Linked DNA regions of Rattus norvegicus. The protein of the gene in region 2 purifies or fractionates together with the protein of the main gene of each other region. This does not show direct contact. Links are inferred from orthologs where the notes say so. Each region holds a gene or a part of one and is shown on either strand. Other genes may lie near its edges.

What was found. The genes of interacting proteins can lie anywhere in the genome.
Region 1: the proteins of Itpr1 (region 2) and Erlin2 purify together in Homo sapiens (affinity purification with western blotting, with the first as the bait; 4 studies listed by BioGRID). This does not show direct contact. The link is inferred for Rattus norvegicus from reciprocal best matches to the Homo sapiens genes ITPR1 and ERLIN2.

The regions. Positions count from the first base shown.
Region 1 is NC_086034.1:71,729,995-71,733,642, reverse strand, and holds part of Erlin2 (erlin-2), read left to right. Parts: intron 1-452; coding exon 453-534; intron 535-1,877; coding exon 1,878-1,924; intron 1,925-2,327; coding exon 2,328-2,389; intron 2,390-2,504; coding exon 2,505-2,630; intron 2,631-3,648. UniProt on the Homo sapiens protein: Component of the ERLIN1/ERLIN2 complex which mediates the endoplasmic reticulum-associated degradation (ERAD) of inositol 1,4,5-trisphosphate receptors (IP3Rs) such as ITPR1.
Region 2 is NC_086022.1:142,742,149-142,746,341, reverse strand, and holds the start of Itpr1 (inositol 1,4,5-trisphosphate receptor type 1), read right to left. Parts: upstream 2,903-4,193; 5' UTR 2,751-2,902; intron 1,902-2,750; 5' UTR 1,832-1,901; intron 1-1,831. UniProt on the Homo sapiens protein: Inositol 1,4,5-trisphosphate-gated calcium channel that, upon inositol 1,4,5-trisphosphate binding, mediates calcium release from the endoplasmic reticulum (ER).

The DNA.
Region 1 (3,648 bases), on a different chromosome or scaffold from region 2:
CTTTGGCTTACTTCAACCACGCACTTACTTCTCTAGTGGGAAAGTCTAGCCGATGGTCTTTTGTTTCCATCAGGTTTCCTAGACTGTTGAGACAGAAGAGAGGGGGAAGGGTAAACATGTCATTCTACCATAAATCTTTATAGGAATGGAGATGGGCGGTCCATAAGTCTTGTTGTAGGCAGTGGCTCTCAACCCTCCTAATGCTGTGACCCTTTAATAGTTTCCCGTGTTGTGATGAGCCCAACCATACAGTTATGTTCCTTACTACCTTATATCTGCAAATCTTGCAACTGTTATGAAGTGTAATGTAAATGTCTCTGTCTTAAGTGACCCCTGTGAAAGAGTTGTTTGGCCCCAAAGGGGTTGCGACCCACAGTTTGAGAACGACTGGTCTAATGGCCCTCTCTTGAAATTCTGAACCTGCCTTTCTTGCCTTTCTCCCTCCTCTACAGAGGTGGTGCCCTGCTGACCTCCACCAGTGGCCCAGGTTTCCATCTCATGCTCCCGTTCATCACATCCTACAAGTCTGTACAGGTACAAGTGGCTTGTGTGGTATGGCTGGATCATTACAAATCTGGGTTGTTGACTAATGCACAATGTGAGGTTAGTTAGACATAATGCCTTTTCAGTGACTGACTTAAGGCCTCTCTCTCTCTCTCTCTCTCTCTCTCTCTCTCTCACACACACACACACAGAGAGAGAGAGAGACAGAGAGACAGAGACAGACAGAGAGACAGACAGAGAGACAGAGGCTCCTACACCATATCACTTGATCATTGAAATGCTGAATGAACCCATTGCCTCACTTTGTCAGCCCCAAGTGGAAATTACTCACTTTTGAGGTGGGGCTAAAAAAGAATTTTTTTCTATGAATTTTTAGAAATAAAGTCAAGTGGGTGTGCATATTAAATCACAGGTTACCATGACCGAAATAAAACATGGAATTTTGCTTGTACTTGTTTGAAATTCAAAACTGTAAATATAATTTCATGGGGAGGAAAGTTGGTTGGGTAAGGGCCAATGCCATGTAAATTAGAGTAAGATAAGTTGTAGCCGACCTCCTCCTGACTGAGGTAGACTAAAGTATATCCAGCTAAGATGGGGCTGGAGAGATGGCTCAGCGGTGAAGAACACTGTCTGCTCTTCCAGAGGAGCCTGGTTCAATTCCCACATCCACAAGGCAGCTCACAGCTCATTGATGTCTGTGACGCCTGTTCTAGCTGATCATCGTATTCTCTTACATGTGCAGGCGAAACAGCGGTGTAAATAATAATACAAATAAATTATATATAAAAAGTGTATCCAACTAAGAAACTTTTAAGGCAACCCAGCAAGGGACTGGGAAATGTCACACAGAGGTAGACGCTAGCTTACACCAGGCCCTGAGCTCAATTCCCAGCACAAAAGAGTGAAAGAGAGAAAATTGAGTTAACCCAGCAGAACACTCATCTTCCCTTGCGAGTTTCTTCCCTTTGCCTTGCTGTGTGGACTTCACAGTACTTTGGGTAGCTTTTTCTTACCTGAGTCTCACAGAGATGCTGACCAGGTACTACATTCTGAAACAGCTCTAAAGGAGCCTCCTGCTTCAGCACTAGTAAAGTACGCCCTTCAGGCTCCACACTGTCTTTATTTTGTTTTTAATGATCCTGCCCGTCCATATGTGCTTCACATACAGTGACACAGGCGTAGTCACTTTTGCTTGGTTTCAGGTTACAGCCTGTATAGGGTACTAGTTGGGACAGTAGTCATGTTTAGCAAGAGCAAAGCTCAATCTGATCAAGCCACCAGTTATGATGACAGAAGCTTTGGGCCTTCCAAATAGTAGGGGGCCCCCTTGTCGCTGCCCATTTTACATTAGTTGTTTCCTCTGTCTCCAGACCACTCTCCAAACGGATGAAGTGAAGAACGTACCATGCGGAACCAGGTAAAGTACCAGAATAAGGATGGTGAACCGTAGCCGGTAAGCGAGGAGAGACTGGTGGCCACAGTGAGAGACAATGTGAGGGAAAAGCAGACTGGAGTGAAGCCCGGATGAGAGACAAGCTTCAGGCACCCAGTGCACTCTGAAAACTTATCATTTGCTTTGTCAGAAGATACTAGTGGCTCAGAAGATAGGAACTACCCTTGCTTTCCTGACATTGCAGAGGTCTTACTGTTTCCTCGTGCAGGTCAGAAGTCCTGCACACCTGCTCAGAGGCATGAGCCGCCTCACATTCCACAAACACTGTCCTCCTCCTGTTCACTCACATGTCTTAAGTCATCTCCTTAGGAGAGTTCACCAGATTCCAGCGCCCTGGTAACATCTTTGTCGCTTCTCCCTCCAATAGTGGTGGTGTGATGATCTACTTTGACAGAATTGAAGTGGTGAACTTCCTGGTCCCACATGCAGGTATGTCTTGTCACGTGTCCACACACCATATGTCTGGGTCCCACGAGAACTGAGAAGGTTCTGAGAAGTGTGAAGACTCGGCTTTTCTTATGCTGAGCCCTCTCCTTCTCCACAGTGTATGATATAGTGAAGAACTATACTGCAGACTATGACAAGGCCCTCATCTTCAACAAGATTCATCATGAGCTTAACCAGTTCTGCAGCGTCCATACACTTCAGGAAGTCTATATCGAGCTGTTTGGTAAGAATGTGGTGCCATTCCCTCCTCTCCCTGAGGCGAATCAGGCTTCGGCAGCCCTCTGTCTGTGTGCTTCTGAGTCACCACACCACAGAACGGGGGCACAGCAGCCAGCCACCAAGAGGGTTCCAGATAATGTCAAGAACAACCCAGCATAGTTGTCTATACCTGTGATCCCAGCATTCAGGAGGCTGAGGCAGGAGGAAAGCAAGTTGAAGGCCAGCCTGGGCTACAAAGTAAGACGTGTTCTAAATAAATACACCCCCACCCCCACCCCCACCCCCCAAAAAATAAAAGAAGTTAAGAACCACGGGAAGACTCTTGGAGTAGTCACACATAAGCACTGGAGGAAGAGTGGATATAGCAGCTACTGCTGGCCTGCACAGTGGACTAGAACAGAAGTGTCCTCACTGCCCTGGAATATTCTGTAATGGTTTCTAGACGAATCTTACAAGGCTTTTAGCCTAACATACTCTTTTTTTAAATTTTCTCTTCTCTCATACAATACATCCCATCCATAGCTTCCCCTTCCACTCCTCCCAGTCCCACCCCTTCTTACCCTCTCCCCTAGATCCCACTCTCCAATGAGTCTCTGCCGAGAGAAGAGTAGGCCTCCCTCCCAGAGACATCAATTAAATTCGGCACAGTAAGACAAGTCACAGTCCCCCACTGGGGCCAAGAGCAAGAAAAACAAGAGAGCTGTTGCAAGTAAACGGCAGAGCTGCAACCAGACGCCTTCCTACTCTCCTGCCCTGTCACTTAAGTGTTCCTCCCACTGAGTGCAGGGAATCCAGTGTTGTGTGCTGAGAATGGAGGTGCCTGCTTAGTTCTAGAAGTGAGGAAAGAAGTGTAGGTTCTTAGACTTCCACATCAAGGTCTATCTTTAAGGGAAGTCAGAGCAGGAACCTGGAGGCAGAAACTGAAGTAGAGACCGGGGAGAGTACTGCTTCCTGGCCTGCTTTTCGCGCTTCGATCTGTGCATTTTATAGAGCCCAGGACCACGTGCTCAGGGGTGGCATGC
Region 2 (4,193 bases):
ATTGATGTAGTCAAGGAGCAAATTATACGTTCAATGTATACTCATAACATGCATACATCCACATGACTGAAGAAGAAATGGAGAAGAAAAACACTGCATACAACTAGCAACCAGGCAAACCAGAGACCACAGGACAAGCTACCAACATTCCACAGGTTGAACTGAAGCAGTTTAAGATTTCCAATTATTCAGCTAGAGACACACCTGACTCTTTCAACCTGCTCAGGTGCCTTGATGGGAATGACCAAAAGCTACTCCAACTATGAGCCAGGACTAACACTGCACGTAGACACTGGGTTTCCTCTGGTTTTCCTTCTTAACTGTCCTGATTCAAGCTTTCAAAACACACACACACACACACACACACACACACACACACACACACACACACACACACACACAGAGCTTTTCTAACATGAATTCAGCCCAACATTAAATCCTCCTACAAATAACTACATTCTTTTATCCCTGCCAAGGGCTGTATCATTTCCTTCTTACATCAAACTAAATAGCTGGTACATTGTTGGTGAGACATAAATCAGAGTTAAGGCATTAAGAGCAATGGGTTCACTATTTTTCCTAGCATCTCTCTCTCTCTCTCCCCATAAACTTAAGCACAAGTGGTACACATTACTGCCTGGGCTGCCCAGTGACTTCATTCTGAATCTCGGTTTCTTCACCCGTATCTAAGGTCTTCTGTGATATACAGCTTTGCACCTGGCTTGCTCTAACCTAATGGGACAGCCTCATTATTTTTAGGCAAAAGATAGAGAAGAGTCTGTGGACCAGTTAACGGTGTCTGTAGCATACTTCAAAGAGAAGACTGACCCCTCTTTGATCAACACAGACATTAGTCCATAGGAGAACTAGCCTTCCCATCCAAATGTTTCCCACTCCACCAGTACTCCTGAGGACCTTATCAACAGGAAACAAAAGCACTGTGCTACCATAATGAAGTATCTGGCTTTCATTCACTAATTAGAAAAGCCCAAAGATTGTAGCCCAGGGAACAGCTAAATATTTAGGACATTAAAGAAGTTACCAAGGACCAGCTGCCCACAGCTCCCCACTCCTATTAACCTGTTGTTTACTCAATTACCAGACATTTTAGAAGAAAAAACTTGATAGACAAACCTGAAACCATAGGGGCGTCTGTGTACCTACAGAGAGAGGCTTTATTTTCTAGGAATGGGCTGTGATAAATGTCATTATATTGACAGAAACACTGCCCTCAGCCCCTCATCCGGGAACAGGTACCAAAGCAAGAGAAGCACGCTGGGTTCCTTGATATGCAGGTGGCTCCTGTGAAATCCTGGAAGCTACAGTGGTATTCTTTAAGCTCTTACTTCCTGTTAAGTTCTCATTCTTTCAATTTGTCGCTTTCATTTCTTGCAACCCAGCCCACTCTGGTTACGTGGTGAAAGCCCACGACAGAACAGAACCAAGTGACAGTTTGTGAAAGGGAGGAGTATCTCACTTTTGCTTAGGGATCTTGGCAAACGAAAAGTTCTGCATCTTTGGGAGTCTAAATAATGAGGGTGCCTTTCAGGCTGGTAAGGGACCACCCACTTTACAATCTACCGCAATTTACTGCTTGTTGCTGTTGCTTACCCACCACCCCTTTACCCCCATGCTTCGATTCTAAGCAACCTTCAAAAGTAGCTGTCACTGGATCTTTACTCAAGACCATGACCAATTTTGACCACAGTTTCTTTCTCTTCCCTACTCTACCTCTATGTACGTTACAAGCGGAGTTACAAAATGCTTAGGACAAAACAAACAAACAAACAAACAAACATTCTTGACTACAGAACTCAGCTCCCACACTCACCTGACCCAGGTCAGGCACTCTGTAGCCAATGGACTCCCAGCCAAGGATGCAAATCCTTTGTAGTCAGCTCCTAAATATTTACAAAGAAAGAAGACTGAGTATGGGATCTTGCGACGGTCTATCAGAATGTTCCCAAAGACAGGTTTCGACTTTTTTAGTCTCCGTTCGCTTTTCCTGCAGATCCCACTCCCCACCTCCAAATTTAGCAGTCAAGTTGGAGGGATCTCTTGCCCCCAGATAAAAGCAACCCCAGCATGCTTATTTCCCGTCCGGAGCTGACCAGAAAGATCAGGCACGCAGAAACTTCGAATACGATGGGGGGGTGGGGGGAAGAGACTGTGGACGAAAGGAAGTGTTGAGATCCCAAAGCACTTGTTTCCCCGCGTGGAGGCCAAGTATGTGAAACCCGCGTCCTCATTGGGCACGAGCTCCGTCCACACTTCTCTCATCGCTCCCGCCCCTGCTTCCTCCGGTTTTCTTCCTTTTTTTTTAAACCCACGGGGGCCCCCACGCATGCATTATCCTACCAGCCAAGCAGCGCAACAGGGCTAGCTACATTTTTAGAAAGATTATTTCCTTGAGCAAACTCATATGACACCCCCTCAAATACCCCCCCAGGGGGGAAAACTATTTCCTGCAAACACTCCAGCCGTTTCCAACTTGGGGGAATGCCATTTCAGTACGGGGAAGGAGGTTGAAGCCGGTCACTAGAGTCGAGGACATTTGGGGTTACTTAAGCCTGAAAAAAAAAATCAGACCGCCTCCCAAAACTGCTCGCAGGGAAAGAAGCCCCAAAATACACGCCAAGTGCATAAGTGCATGCAAAGCCACCAAGAACTCCCAGTGATCAGGGCAAAAACTTCAGCGCACGGGAGCCAGTGCCAACTCCCCGAGCCCTCTGCCCGGCCCCAGCAGCTACCTTGGTGACCGGGGAGCCACGCCGGTTTGAGGGATCAGGACCAGGACAGGGGTTAGCAGCCGCTGGGCAATCCCATGTCCGCGAAGAGGGAGCTCGTTCCGTTAGGATGGGAGCGGAACACCCACACCTCCTCTCGGCGTGCGCTTTCTCTCTCTCCACCCCCTGCCTCCACCTCCTCCACCACCACCTCCTCCTCCTCTCCTCCCACCCCGGCAGGCTTGAGGAAACGCTTCAGCAGAACATCCACATGGTTACTGCACTTTGAAGCAGCTCCCGGCCGCTTATATAGGCCCGGAAGCTCCCTGGGCAATGTAGTCCGATTCCCAGGTCCTGCCGGCGCCTGGGGCTGCGCAGAAGGACTACAAGTCCCAGAATGCCCTGGGCTCTGGGGCTGGGTTCTAAATAGACTCCCGCGCACTGACCAGGGTCGGGGGAGGGGCGCCGAGCGGGAAGGCTGGGGCTGCGAACCTGTGTCTAAGCAGCGAACTCCCCAGGTTTGGCAAGCCCGATCCACAGGGTGTCCCTTACCCCTGTGAACCCTTCTCTTTTGACTGTCCCTTTTCTAAAGTCAGGTGTCACTAGGGGCCAGAGAGAGAGGAAGAGCTCGGATTACTACTTTGGGAAGTTTTTACAAGCTGTTTACCCACCCCCGCGCGTCCTGTGTCCTGGAGCCAAGAATTTCAGAAATCCGAGGCACAAAAACGCCAGTGTTTTGCGGTCAAGGATTAAAGAAGCAAGTTTGTCTTTATTAAATCTGTTCCAGTTCTTTATTGGATCCTGCTAGTGTCTGCATGAAAAGTCTGGCAATGAGGTGGTCCCTGCTATCGAGGATGCGGGGTAATCGTGTGAAAGCCCTTTTCTGAATCCGAGCTGTGTCTGTCTTTCGTCGCCCGGTGGGAGGTAAAAGGAACGCAACCCTTTCGAGTGAGCAAATAAAGGAACCATGTTGTGACTTGGCTGATGTTGTGATCGCGAAGCAGGAAAGAAATACAAACCGCGACCTGGTCCTGACCCCGCTTCTAGGACCCCTTTGCTCCTGGAATCTGTAAATGCTCAAGTAAATAAACCGCAAACCAGAAAAATAAGGGCTTCAGAGAAAGCGGCTATACTAAGATGTGTGCGTCCAGGCGAGGTGTGCTGCAAGTCTTCAACCCAAGCCTCTGGGCTGAAATGGGTTTCAACACACCACAAATAAGTGTAGGCTCCAGCCTGCAAAGTGCTTAGAACTTTGGCTTTTGAAAGAAGAGTTTGAATCGCAGGCAAAGTTATCCCACTGTCTCCCTCCGCATCCCACCTCCCACCCCCCACCCCGCCCAAACCAGACTGCAAGTATTCATTCCACAAACGTTCCCCGGTGTCATCTGGGTGCCAGGCCAGGCATGGTGCCAGGATATGAGAGTGCGCCAAAGTATATCATAACATCCTAAATGGGGTCTGTCTGCT